3 linked regions of the Ovis aries genome follow. The protein of the gene in region 3 binds, or shares a complex with, the protein of the main gene of each other region. Links are inferred from orthologs where the notes say so. Each region holds a gene or a part of one and is shown on either strand. Other genes may lie near its edges. The genes, in order: WWC1, MAGI2 and DDN.

What was found.
Region 1: the proteins of DDN (region 3) and WWC1 are in contact, whole or in part, in a crystal structure (PDB 6J69), measured with the Mus musculus proteins. The link is inferred for Ovis aries from reciprocal best matches to the Homo sapiens genes DDN and WWC1. Residues at the interface, in NP_001013763.1 of Mus musculus: Tyr227, Val228, Ala229, Pro230, Pro231, Ser232, Tyr233, His237, Arg238, Thr239; in NP_740749.1 of Mus musculus: Glu13, Glu14, Ala15, Arg16, Asp17, Tyr23, Ile25, Asp26, His27, Arg30, Thr31, Thr32, Ser33, Trp34.
Region 2: the proteins of DDN (region 3) and MAGI2 are in contact, whole or in part, in a crystal structure (PDB 6KKG), measured with the Mus musculus proteins. The link is inferred for Ovis aries from reciprocal best matches to the Homo sapiens genes DDN and MAGI2. Residues at the interface, in NP_001013763.1 of Mus musculus: Asp222, Arg223, Pro224, Pro225, Pro226, Tyr227, Val228, Ala229, Pro230, Pro231, Ser232, Tyr233, His237, Arg238, Thr239, Leu240, Gly241; in NP_001164217.1 of Mus musculus: Glu308, Met309, Ala310, Tyr311, Thr312, Glu313, Gly315, Tyr318, Ile320, Asp321, His322, Lys325, Thr326, Thr327, Ser328, Trp329, Asp358, Tyr361, Tyr364, Val366, Asp367, His368, Arg371, Arg372, Thr373, Gln374, Phe375.

The regions. Positions count from the first base shown.
Region 1 is NC_056058.1:77,912,325-77,916,596, reverse strand, and holds the start of WWC1 (protein KIBRA), read right to left. Parts: upstream 2,940-4,272; 5' UTR 2,418-2,939; coding exon 2,299-2,417; intron 1-2,298. UniProt on the Homo sapiens protein: Regulator of the Hippo signaling pathway, also known as the Salvador-Warts-Hippo (SWH) pathway.
Region 2 is NC_056057.1:43,277,993-43,282,127, reverse strand, and holds the start of MAGI2 (membrane-associated guanylate kinase, WW and PDZ domain-containing protein 2), read right to left. Parts: upstream 2,824-4,135; 5' UTR 2,352-2,823; coding exon 2,051-2,351; intron 1-2,050. UniProt on the Homo sapiens protein: Seems to act as a scaffold molecule at synaptic junctions by assembling neurotransmitter receptors and cell adhesion proteins. Plays a role in nerve growth factor (NGF)-induced recruitment of RAPGEF2 to late endosomes and neurite outgrowth.
Region 3 is NC_056056.1:137,226,821-137,229,117, reverse strand, and holds part of DDN (dendrin), read right to left. Parts: coding exon of another isoform or gene 2,250-2,297; coding exon 2,178-2,249; intron 1,779-2,177; coding exon 1-1,778. UniProt on the Homo sapiens protein: Promotes apoptosis of kidney glomerular podocytes. Podocytes are highly specialized cells essential to the ultrafiltration of blood, resulting in the extraction of urine and the retention of protein.

The sequences.
Region 1 (4,272 bases), on a different chromosome or scaffold from region 3:
AAACCCTCAGCGTCCCAAGATCAGGGGCCCCAGCCCAGGCCGGTGCAGGTGGGCTGACCGGAGATACAAAGGCACAGGGTAAAACCAGTGAACAGCAAGGCGGAGAAAGTGAGCAGTTCCTTAAGCGCCAGTTATCTTTTTAATTCCTCTCCATTGCTTGCCAATCTGCCTAAAAACACAGGCTGCGGAGGCCTGTTGCTGGAGCCGTGGACTGGCCACAGGAGTGAGTTCAAACAGAAAGGCACCTTTTCCCCCCTTCCACTGTACTTTTTAAAGGTTCCTTTCTCTTTGGAGCAATAGATATTGCTAGTTTCCCATTTGCAAAAGTGGCTAAAAAAAATTCAGATTGGGTTGATTCAGTGTCAAGTATTAAGTCAGCAATAACACAGGTGATACAGCAAAAAAGGTGGTCTACATAATACTGAAATTCGGGAAATTATGCCGTAGCCAAGTCAGTTTTCCATGGAAGCTATACTGCTTGCCCTCTTCCAAGGGTAATGAATGACCGCTCCTTAAGCAGATTTCTGCAGCTGTGTTATCCTCTCAGTGCCCCAGAGAAGTTCCCAGATTCAGGATCTGGGGTGAGTTAGCAATGCCCTCTACACTCAACTGCTGACAGCACACTGGGCCCCGTAGCTGCTGGGACCTAAAATGGGGGAGGACACACAAACTTGAACTTGTGTCTGTTTTAGGCGAGGACAAGGGACTGTGGAGGCTAGAACTTCAGAGCAGGCAGAGAATTTGGCAAAAGGTAGAGTGGTGAGAAGATCAAAATCCCCAAGCACATCCTACCTCCGGATCTCAAAGTTTGTCTCATGTTTGAAAATGGGAGCTGGGCCCTGACCTTCCATATCCCTTCCACTTTCAAGAGTTCCACTATCACCCTTGCCCTTCCAAGCAAATCATTTGTCTGACAAACAGGCAAACTGAGGCTCAGAAGTTAAAGCAGCTTGCCCGTGGGACCTGAGCTCTTCAGCATTAAAAATGTCTCTTTCGGATTAAATTGATGAGACGTTCAGCATAGTACTGAACTCAGAGAGGACACCCAGTCCATGTTGAATGAATGAATCAAAGTGCTCACAGAAACTATGAGCAATCTCAGCTCACATTTTCTTTCTTGCTTTTTCTTTTTCTCAACTCTCATCTTGATTACACACCCCATCCTAGACTTCTGGAACCTCCATTCCCACCCCAGCCAAACAATTTAGCTTCATTGCTTTACAAGCACCTGACACCCAAGGTCACAATTACCAGGTGAAAACTCCGCATTCCTGGGACACTGACCACAGAGATGACAGCAAAGGACAACCAGCGGTCCCAGAGGGTGGTCCTTCCCCCTCCCCACCCCCCAGGATATTCATGGAGAGAGGGTGCTGTGTGCAAAAAAATTGCCAAGCAGCCAAAACCAGGAGAAAGTCTGGATGCTTAAGAGCCACACCAGCCATCTCACACGCCACCTGCCTCAGCAAAAAAAAAAAAAAAAAAAAAAAAAATCCGGTGCTCCAACCGGCGTGGTGCCCACCAAGGTCAGGACGCGCTGGTGCAGCACTGAGGAACCCCCGTCCCCAGAGGAGAGGATGGCGGGGAGGAGAAGAGGCGATGGGCAGGGCTTTGCGGCGGCCTCTCACCTCCATCTACATCCTAACAGCTTCCAAGTTGCCGTGAGATTCCTGGGGAACCAGTCTCCCCGATCAGCCCTCCCCCGCTCCTTCCTCTCCTTCCCACTGTCGGCCTCCCGGCCTCCAGAACGCTGCTGCGCCCGTCTCTCCGAGCCTGGGAGGCACCTGTCAAAATTCACACCCTGGGCTGCCTTCCCCGGGACACAGTGTCCTTCCTCCAGCAGCCTCCCGCTGAGTCCTGGGTGCCTACCATCCCCTCCAAACCAGATGCTTTCCCATCCCCCCTCCCCCCCCCCCCCGCTGGGGAAAGCCTCCCCGGGAAGCCCCAGCATCACTCGGCTAGATCGCTCCCCCAGCCCCCGCAGGACCTAACTAAGGGGGAGGGGAGCGGCGGGAGGCGGGGCTAGAGCTTAAGGTCAAAACTCCCGGCAGGTGCCGACGGGGGGCTGAGTCCCCCTCAGAGGACAGCGCGGGGTGAGGGGGTAGCCTGGGCCAACTCACCGGCCGACCCCTCCTCCCAGCTGCCCGCCCGGCGGGAGCCGGCGGTCCGGAAGGGCACGGGGGTGGGGGGCACACGGAAGACAGCGCAAGAGGCCCGCAGAGCTCCCAGGGTCGCCGCCCCGTCCCGGCTTGTGGCCCCCGGGGCAGGAGCGGGATGAGGGTGCACGCGGAATCCTACCTGTCCCGCGGGTCGATCCAGCTGGTGGTGCGGCTCGTGTGGTCTATGTAGTAGACCTTGCCGTCGAAGTCGCGCGCCTCCTCCCAGCCCTCCGGCAGGGGCAGCTCCGGCCGGGGCATCGTCTCGAGCGCGGCCCGCGCTCCCCCATGCAGCTCCCGGCCGCCACGGGGGCCCCCCGGCTCAGCGGCTCCGGCCGGTTTCTCTCGGCTCGGGCGGCCGCCGAGGCACCATGGTCGCGGTGGTGGGGAGGGAAGGTGGCGCCCGCGGGCTGGGGGCCCCTAGTGAGGGCCGGCCGGGGTGGCGGCGCTGTCCATGCGGCCCTGCGGCCCCGGCCCGGCGCCTCCCGCTCCTCCGGCCGCCGGCCTCTCACGCTGCCATGTGCGCCCGCAGCGGCGCGGTGCGGGCCCGGGTGCGCGCCCGGCCGGCGGGGCAGAGCGAGCCGAGCGCAGCTGCCGCCTGTCCTCCTCCGCGGCGCGCGGCGCCCTGCAGCCTCCACACCGCCGCCGCCGCCGCCTCTCGCTCCCCCGAGCCGGGTGCTGTCCCCGCTCTCCCTCCGCCGTTCAGCGCTCGCTTGGTTTGCGACTCCTGCCTGCGCCAGGTGCGGCTCGGGCTGTGCAGGTAACCGCGCTGCCCCGGAAACTGGAGGCGGAGCGCCGGGCGCCAGGGTTCCCGCGTCCCCTCCCCGCGCCCAGCGCCGCGAGGGCGGGTCCTAGGGCCCGAGACGCGCCCCCTCGTGGGACAGTCCCAACTGCCGGCCGCCCCTTCGCGGCTCCTGCCGGGAGGAATGGGAGCCCGCCCTTCACCTGGGTCCCGGACCCAGGCTGGAGCCCCGGGAGGCGCGAGCAAGCCCCGCTCTGCCTCGGCTTCCCGGCGCTCCAGGCTGTCTCCACCCAGAGCGGCCGAGTTCTTGGCACAGGTGTCCCCAATCTTATAACTCCCGGCTTCTCTCTTGTAGAATCAGGAGTCAGGCAAGAAGTGGTTAAATGGAAACATTCTTGCAAATAGGGGAACATAAGTTTTCCAGGATCTCTGATCCCTTCCCCCAACACACACACCATCTGTCTCCCTCTTATTCTATTCTTTCCGCGCGTTGTTTCACCCATCCCCCCACCCCTCGTACTTGCAAGTGTAACTGGCTCTTCCCCGGGTCCCTAAAGTGAAGAGTGCTAGGCATCCATCTCCTGCCCTCAGCCCCCAAGGACCTCCAGTGGGTGTCGAGGTGGCCCTTTGTAATAGTTATGATGTTGTTGTTCATTAAATTGAATATGTAACCTGTTCCAGGCAGCTTCACCTGTCCTCTTCGAGATATTAATTGATCTGTCATGGCTTTGGGGGGATAGGGGTTATGAAAAAGAAGGAAGCAAACAAAGCAAAATTCCATGTTTAAAAAATGAGAACTTTTAAAAATCAATATTTCTTGAGAAATCAAAAATTTGTGATTATTTAATTACAGTTAATCAGCTGTCTGTGTCTCCTGAATGTCTTTAACTTTTTTTTTTTTTTTTGCCCTGGATGTATAGCAGGGAGCTGGACTGCAGGGATGAAGCCCAGCCTGCTGTATCCTTTGTCTGAGTCCCACAGCCTCCCAGAGGAGCCAGTGTCCTGTGCTGTATGGGCCAGAGTGTGCTGAGCATAGGGGAGAATCCCATGTTTCTGGTCTCCTCTGCTCTTGGTACAGAAGACTTATGGTGGCATCTCCTCACCTCCAGATGCCTTCTGTTAAGCCAGTTACTTCCCTAAAGCCAGGCCCATTGACTCAGTATTTGACCTTTCCCTCCCTCCCTCATTCCATAGATGCCATGCACAAAAGTCCAGAAACACAGACCTCAGGCTGGCCTCAGAATACCTAGAAGTAGGAGTTCACCCTACTGCTTCTTATGGGGAGATTCCCACAGCCCTCTACAACTCACTCCTCAACTTCGCTGGGTGCAAAATACTCCCATTAGTGATGAGGGCAATGTGTTTGTGCATGCA
Region 2 (4,135 bases), on a different chromosome or scaffold from region 3:
GCTCTGTTAAAATCATCTTAATAAAAGTAAAATGCTTCATCCTTTAAAAATTTCCACAGATTTGTCTTATTTTTGCCCTATACATAATCATAGGATAGTATTTAATGATAGCTTTCATGCCTTCACTTTTCCAAGTTAAAGTCTTTCCACTGGATTTTATAGAATAGATTGACAATACCCCCAAAATCTCCCTTTCTTTCTTTTCTAGCTGCTAGAGCAACAGCCTGTGAAGGTTCATCTCAAAATAGTGTGCTCAGAATGAGTACATTAAAATGTGGTCATAATTACAAACTACAGTGGGATAAACACTTCCCTCATTAGGCTACAATCATTAGTCCAATTTATTAATAACAATATCTTAAAGTTGGCAGCCATTTTCCACTACAAATACCAACCTTGTTGTCAATAAAACCATGGTCATTAATTGTGACATAGACTTCTGGATTCAAAACCAGAACTTCACATTTATATCTATTACTATAAAATAGTATCATGACATCAAATACGCTAACATTAATGCCTATATTCGAGCCTCTGGTATGTCATCTTGGAAAACAGTAAGATATTCTATTTGCCTTCCTACCAAACACATTCTTCAGGTTCATACCGTATTTAACTCTGTGGCCTGACAAAGAAGTCAATGTTCACATTAGCCTATCTCAAGTCATCAGTCACTAACACTCAAGAATCCCCAATTAAAACTTTTTTGTATGGCAGTTTACATTTAAGAAATTTTGCCTGAGGTTTCATTTTTCACTGACTTACTTTTAAAACTGGTTTATAGACAAGAATATCTCCCTAAGAGATATTGTCATGCAGGCAATGACATGCTCAATTCCATCTTTGAATCCGAACAATGTGTCACCAACAACAAATCTTTCGATTTGTGACGCATATACATACATGTCACACAGAATTATGAATATGAGCTACAAAACTTATGATGTGGAAAATGAAGATACACTATTTTATTCCAGCTAAAGTTGTCCTCTTTCCAAGAAACTTTTATCTCTCTTCTCTACTTCAGGACCAGCATTTTCCTATAGGCAAAGACAGTTGCGAGAACTCTGCAGGATCCCATCACAGCCTTCAGCGGAGGCTCATCTAAACCAGGTTGGAGCTGACCGGATCCTCAGTCGAAACCAGAAGGCTTTTTCATCCAGTTCCTCCTTAGAAACACGCCTCCCGCCCCTGCCCCTGCCCAAATCCGAAGCCAGAGGGGAGTCCGACCATAGAGAACTTCCACTCATGAAGACAACCCCATAGTAAAGAACATTCCGGTAACCACGTCTCTCCTCCGACCTCCAACTCTAGAACCCGCAGCTAGCGCCGCGCCTTCCTCGCGAGCCGCCTCCCGCGGGCCGGCTCGGGGTGAGCTCCCGAGTTAGTCAGTGCGCACGTGACGCGCGGTGCCCACATGACACGACCGTGGGCGGGGGAGGGGGACAGAGGAGCGAGGCAGGGAAAAAGTTAAGGCAGACCCGTCAACGCGCCCGAAGCAACCTGCCCCTTCCCTTCTTTGTCAATTAGTGGCTCAGGGATCCCCAAGGTGTCTTCAGTACAGCTACCGAAACGGAGGGCGCCGGTCTCCGTTTGCCCCGTCACCCCCTACTCCTACCGGCCCTGCTGGTGATGCCGCTGCACCCTCGAGTTGTTCCTTCCTCTCTCTCCTGCCCTCCTTTTTCGTTTCTGCCTTCTTTCCTTCCCTAAAAGCTCTTCATCCATTGCGGGCCATGCGGCTGACGCACATTCAATTGCCCTGGGAGCTCGCCGGCACCGCCGAGGTCAGACAAGGCCGAACACCTACCAAACGGGAGGTGGTAACTGCGCAAACAAAGTTGCACGCTGCACCGCAACCGCCCCTCCCTCCCACTGAGCCCCCCATTCTGAGCCCCGGCAAAGCTCACTTGCTCTGCCGGTTCTCGATCGACCTCACCCCACTGTCGCGCAACACACCCCCTTCCACACGCGAGCCCACCCTTCCATGATGCCCCGGCGTCTGGAGCGGTCCAGCCTCCTGGTAAAGCACCGAGCCAGCCGCTGCGCTTACCTTGCTTGACACACTTGAGCCGGAGGGGGTCCTTGCAGTGTTTGATCACGGCCAGCACGTCCCTGATGGTGAGCCCCGCCACGGGGGTCTCGTTCACTTCCAACAGCAGTTCCTCAGACACCAACTTGCTTCCGCTCTCATAGGCCACCTTGCCCGGCTTCACCTCTCCCAGGTAGGGGAACTGTCCATTCTCGGCGCCCCCCTTCAGTTCAAAACCCAGCTGACCCTCCGGGTTCCTGCCAATGACACTCTCATGGACTTTGCTCGTCCAGTGGCTTTTCTTTTTCAAGCTTTTGGACATGGCAGTGGGGTGAGTCGCCTCAGCTCCTGAGGGATTCCTTTGGGGTAGGGGAGTTGGTGCTGAGAGAATGAGGCTGGAGGAGCCAGGGGGCCAAGAGGTGAGGAGAGCAGACTTTGCCTTCCTCCCCTCTCTGTTCGGTGCTTTCCCTCTTCTTTGGATGGAGTGTGGTCGAGGAAGGGGGAGGATGACAGGGACGGCTGGGCAGAGGTAGGAGAGCTTGGGTGAGGTTGTGCTGTCCCTTGAATGACACTCAAGGCTGTGGCCCCGCAGCAGAGGAGAGCTGTGGTGGTGGCGGCGGCGGCGGCGGCAGCGGCAGCCTGAGCGAGCAGTAGCCGAGCTGGTGAGCGGGTGGAGTGGGGGTGGGGAAGGAGAGTAGGGATGCCGGGGGCCACTCCTGCGTGGTGCGAGTGGGAGCGCGCGCGCGCCTGAGTGTGTGTTGTTAGCTGATATCCATGGTAGCTGCAGTGGCAGTGGCAGGGTCCGCGCGCGCTCGCGCCCTCGCGCGCGCGGCCGACTTGTACTGTACTGGCAGCAGGGGAGGAGGCTTAGCGCCGCTGAGGAGGGAGCGGACTAGAGCGGGGAGGAGGGGCGCGCGCGCGCCGGGTGGGGAGCCGCTTACTGCTGTCTCCGCTCACCCCCCCACCCCCCTCCGCAGCTTGACCCGGTAGTGAAGGCTGAGAGAGAGGCAGGCTGGGTCCGCCTGGCAGCCTACGAGAGGAGGCGGGAGCGGGAAAGGAGGGGAGCCGAGGCCCGGCGTGGGGAGGCCGGCAGGAAGGGCTGCGAGCCCAGCGCGGACCTTTCTTCAGCCTCCCGGCGGCCGAACGCAGCGCTAGGCTGCTGCGCTGTGAGGATGCCCTGACTCAGTGCCGGACGCTGTGGCTGGTGGCGCCGCGAGCCTCCGGGCGTCCGATCCCGGCATGAGAAAGGGCAGAGCTGTGGGACCCGCCCGGCGTGCCCTCGCCCAGGAGGAGGCCTGGGCGCTGCGGGCCAGGTGGAGGCGTCGGAGTTCACTAATTAGACAGGCTTCGTCTCCCACGTTTCAGTCAGACCCGTCTCAAAGTTCTCAGAATTCCTCTCAGAGGAGAGTAAAGTTAGAACTGCAGGCTGGTTTTCCTGTCAGCGCCCGTACCTCGGGTGCAGAAGGGAACTTAGCGGAGGGTTGTCTGGTGAAAGGCATTCCAGGCACCGCGGGGCAGGGGCTTCACTTTTCCAAGTTGGAAGAAGCGGGAAGCAGTGGGGTGGGGGCAGCCGCGGTGAGCAGCCTCCTCAGAGAACTGGGCAGTTTCACGCGGGATCTGCGGCGAGACCGCGGGGCACGCCCTCGTCGCGCGCGCCCTCACAGCCGGGCTGGGAAGAGGGGAAACCCTAAGCTGCCCTGAGGAGACCACCTCCTGCTACACTAAAGGAGAAGGTTCGGAGGGCGACCAGAGCGACAGAACCGGGGCTGAAACTCAGCTCGCTGGTCCGCCACCAGGCTTCTTTACCTTCAGCAAGTTTGCAGCCGGGAGGTGAGGTGACGTCCGGGGCGCCAGGATGCAGGAGGGCCGCTGATTTTTACTCAAAGGCTAATTTTGTGTGAGATGTTAGGAGTGATTTTTAAAATTCCTGTAACTGATAAATGAGTTCCATTTGCTTTACTTTCAAATGATACTTAAAAAAAAAAAAGTTGCACACCCACTCGTCTCTTTAAAGCAAAGCATGAAAAGCATTGAGCGGGTAGGATTCTAGCTGTCTGAGAAGACAGTGTGGGAGGCAAGCGGAACAGTTAAAAATGCTTAGTCGAC
Region 3 (2,297 bases):
TCCCGCCTTCCGGGGGCCCGGTCCGCTCTTTCCGCCAGGAGGCGCCCGAGGCTTCTGTGTCGCTCGCATCAGAAGAGCTGCTATGGACGCTGAGCTCCGCAGCTTCGTCTGAGTCGGAGTCCGGGGCGGTGTGGCGGCGGATGCGAGACACGGCTTCCCGCAGGGCCCCGGCATAGGGTCCAGGGGCTCGCGCCCAGCCCCGGCCTGTGCGCCGCGGGCCGGACGCCACTTTCTCCGATCCCTCGGCACCGCGCGCTCCCCCCGAAGCCGGTGGGCCTAAGGCTGAGTGCTCTGGGCTACCTGGCTGCGTGGGGGGATCCCGTAGGTTTACTTCGCCAACCGGGAGCCCCAAGATGCGCGAGGCGCGCTCCTCCAGTGAGGAGTCCGCGGGCTTCCCGCCCTCAGCTTCGAGCCCGCGTCCCTCACTGGGTTGGAGAGAAGGGCGACTGCTCAATGGCAGCTTTCGGCAAGGGGAAGGAAGGACCGCGGCCCCCTCTCCCTCCTCTTTATTGGGTTTCGGTTGGCTGGGGGCATTCCCCACCAGGCGCGGCACCCCGGCGGGCAAAAGCTGCACATGCTGGGTTCGAGGGGTCGGGACGTACTGGGAGCGTATCACCACGCAAGTGGCATCAATGACAAAGACGCCTTCCCGACGAGTGGGGCCACGGGAACTTCGGGGCAGGGTGTGGGGGCGTCGGGTCACCTTCCAACCCTCCAAGGTCTCGGGTCCTGCCTCCCCTCTGTGACCCAGGGGCTCTCTCCATCCCGTGCCTCCTGGAGCCCAGGGTCTGGGAAGGGTCTGGCTATGCCGGGGCGGCTGCTTTTTAATGGAGGGAACCCAGCGTTTGGGGAGCCAGGTCTGGTCTCTCCCTTCCCTCCCTTCCCCGGAGCCCTTGAGATGGGGTCTGGACCTGGGAGTGGGACGCGGGGGGCTGGGGGTGGCAGTGGCAGACCCCGCAGGAACGGTGCCTGGGCTCCCAGCGGCTTTATCTTGGGGATGGCCGTCGCTACCACTCTTCAGGACAGCAGCAGCCAGCCTCGGGCTTTTCTCCGCGGCCCCCTTACCGGACTCCAGCCTTGGCCTGTCTGTTCCACAGCCTGGGGATCCCCCCAAGAGACCCCGTCCCTGACGGAGACCCCAGGCCCCTAGGACGTCCCGGTAGATCCGAGGATCTAGCCTCTTCTTTGCGCACCCTCCCTCTGTCCTAGTCGGCGCAGAGGTTGAACAGGCGCGCGCCTGCGAGGGCTCGGGGCCTCGCTTAGTCCCCAGGGTCCTGTGGGGGCCCTCGTAAGAAGGTGGAGCCACGTAGGGTGGCGGCCGGTCCCAGCGGCGTCGCGGGGCCATCCCGGCAGCGCCTCTCAGCAGCAGGTGAGCCTCGTAGCTGGGGGGCCCTGGCCGCCGACCAGCCCAGGGCCCCGCCCACGCCGCCCCAGGATTGCTCTGCGGCTGCGCGGATGGACGGGGCGGTCGCCCCACCGACCCCAGGCGCTCGGGCCTTGAGGGAGCTGGGAGCCCTGCAGAGTGGGCCACCCGAAGGGCGTTCCGAGGCTCCGGGCGGGGCCGACCAGGGGGACTCCTTCGGGCCCCACCAGCCTTGCGCCTTTTTCGCTCGGTCTCCTTGGCCTCCCGCTCCTGCGACGCCGCTTTCCTTTTCTCTTGCTCCCGGGCTCGGGCCTCGGCCGGGGGCCCCGCCCGCCAGTTGGTCGCCTCCTGCAGCACCCTGGAGGCCCAGGGCCGGCGGGGCGGCGGCTCAGGGGATCCCGGGCGCGGCCCACACCTGGGACAATGAGCAGGAACCCAGGTGAGCAGTTTGTGGGGGAAGGGAGCCGAGGTCCGGGGAGCTGGGAGCGCTGGAGGCCACTTGGGGCCACCGGGTGGAGGGGTGTGTGTGAGTGTGTGCGCGTGTGCACGTGCGTATATGTTAGGGTTGAAGTCGAAGCGGGACTCCTCACCATCTCTCCATGCACACTTTAACAGTATCTGCCCCATCTCACCTGCCCTTTCTCACGCCCACTCCTGTGCCCCCAAACAAATGGGATGAGTCAGACCCCAACCTTCCGGATGGGGTTGGGGGAGGCGTGGAAAAGAGAAGGCAGCTCTGGCTGGTGCCCACGGGAAGGTCCGGACCCCAATCCCTGCCCCACCTCTCTCTTCCCCTTACCCCTCCTTCACTCACGTGCGGCTCTGGGGCCCGCAGACCCAGTGGCTGGCCTGGAAGTCCATGAGCTGTCGAGGAGGGGCGCGGCGACTATAATGACAGGAAATAGTCTTCACTTCGATCACCAGCAGCTTGGAT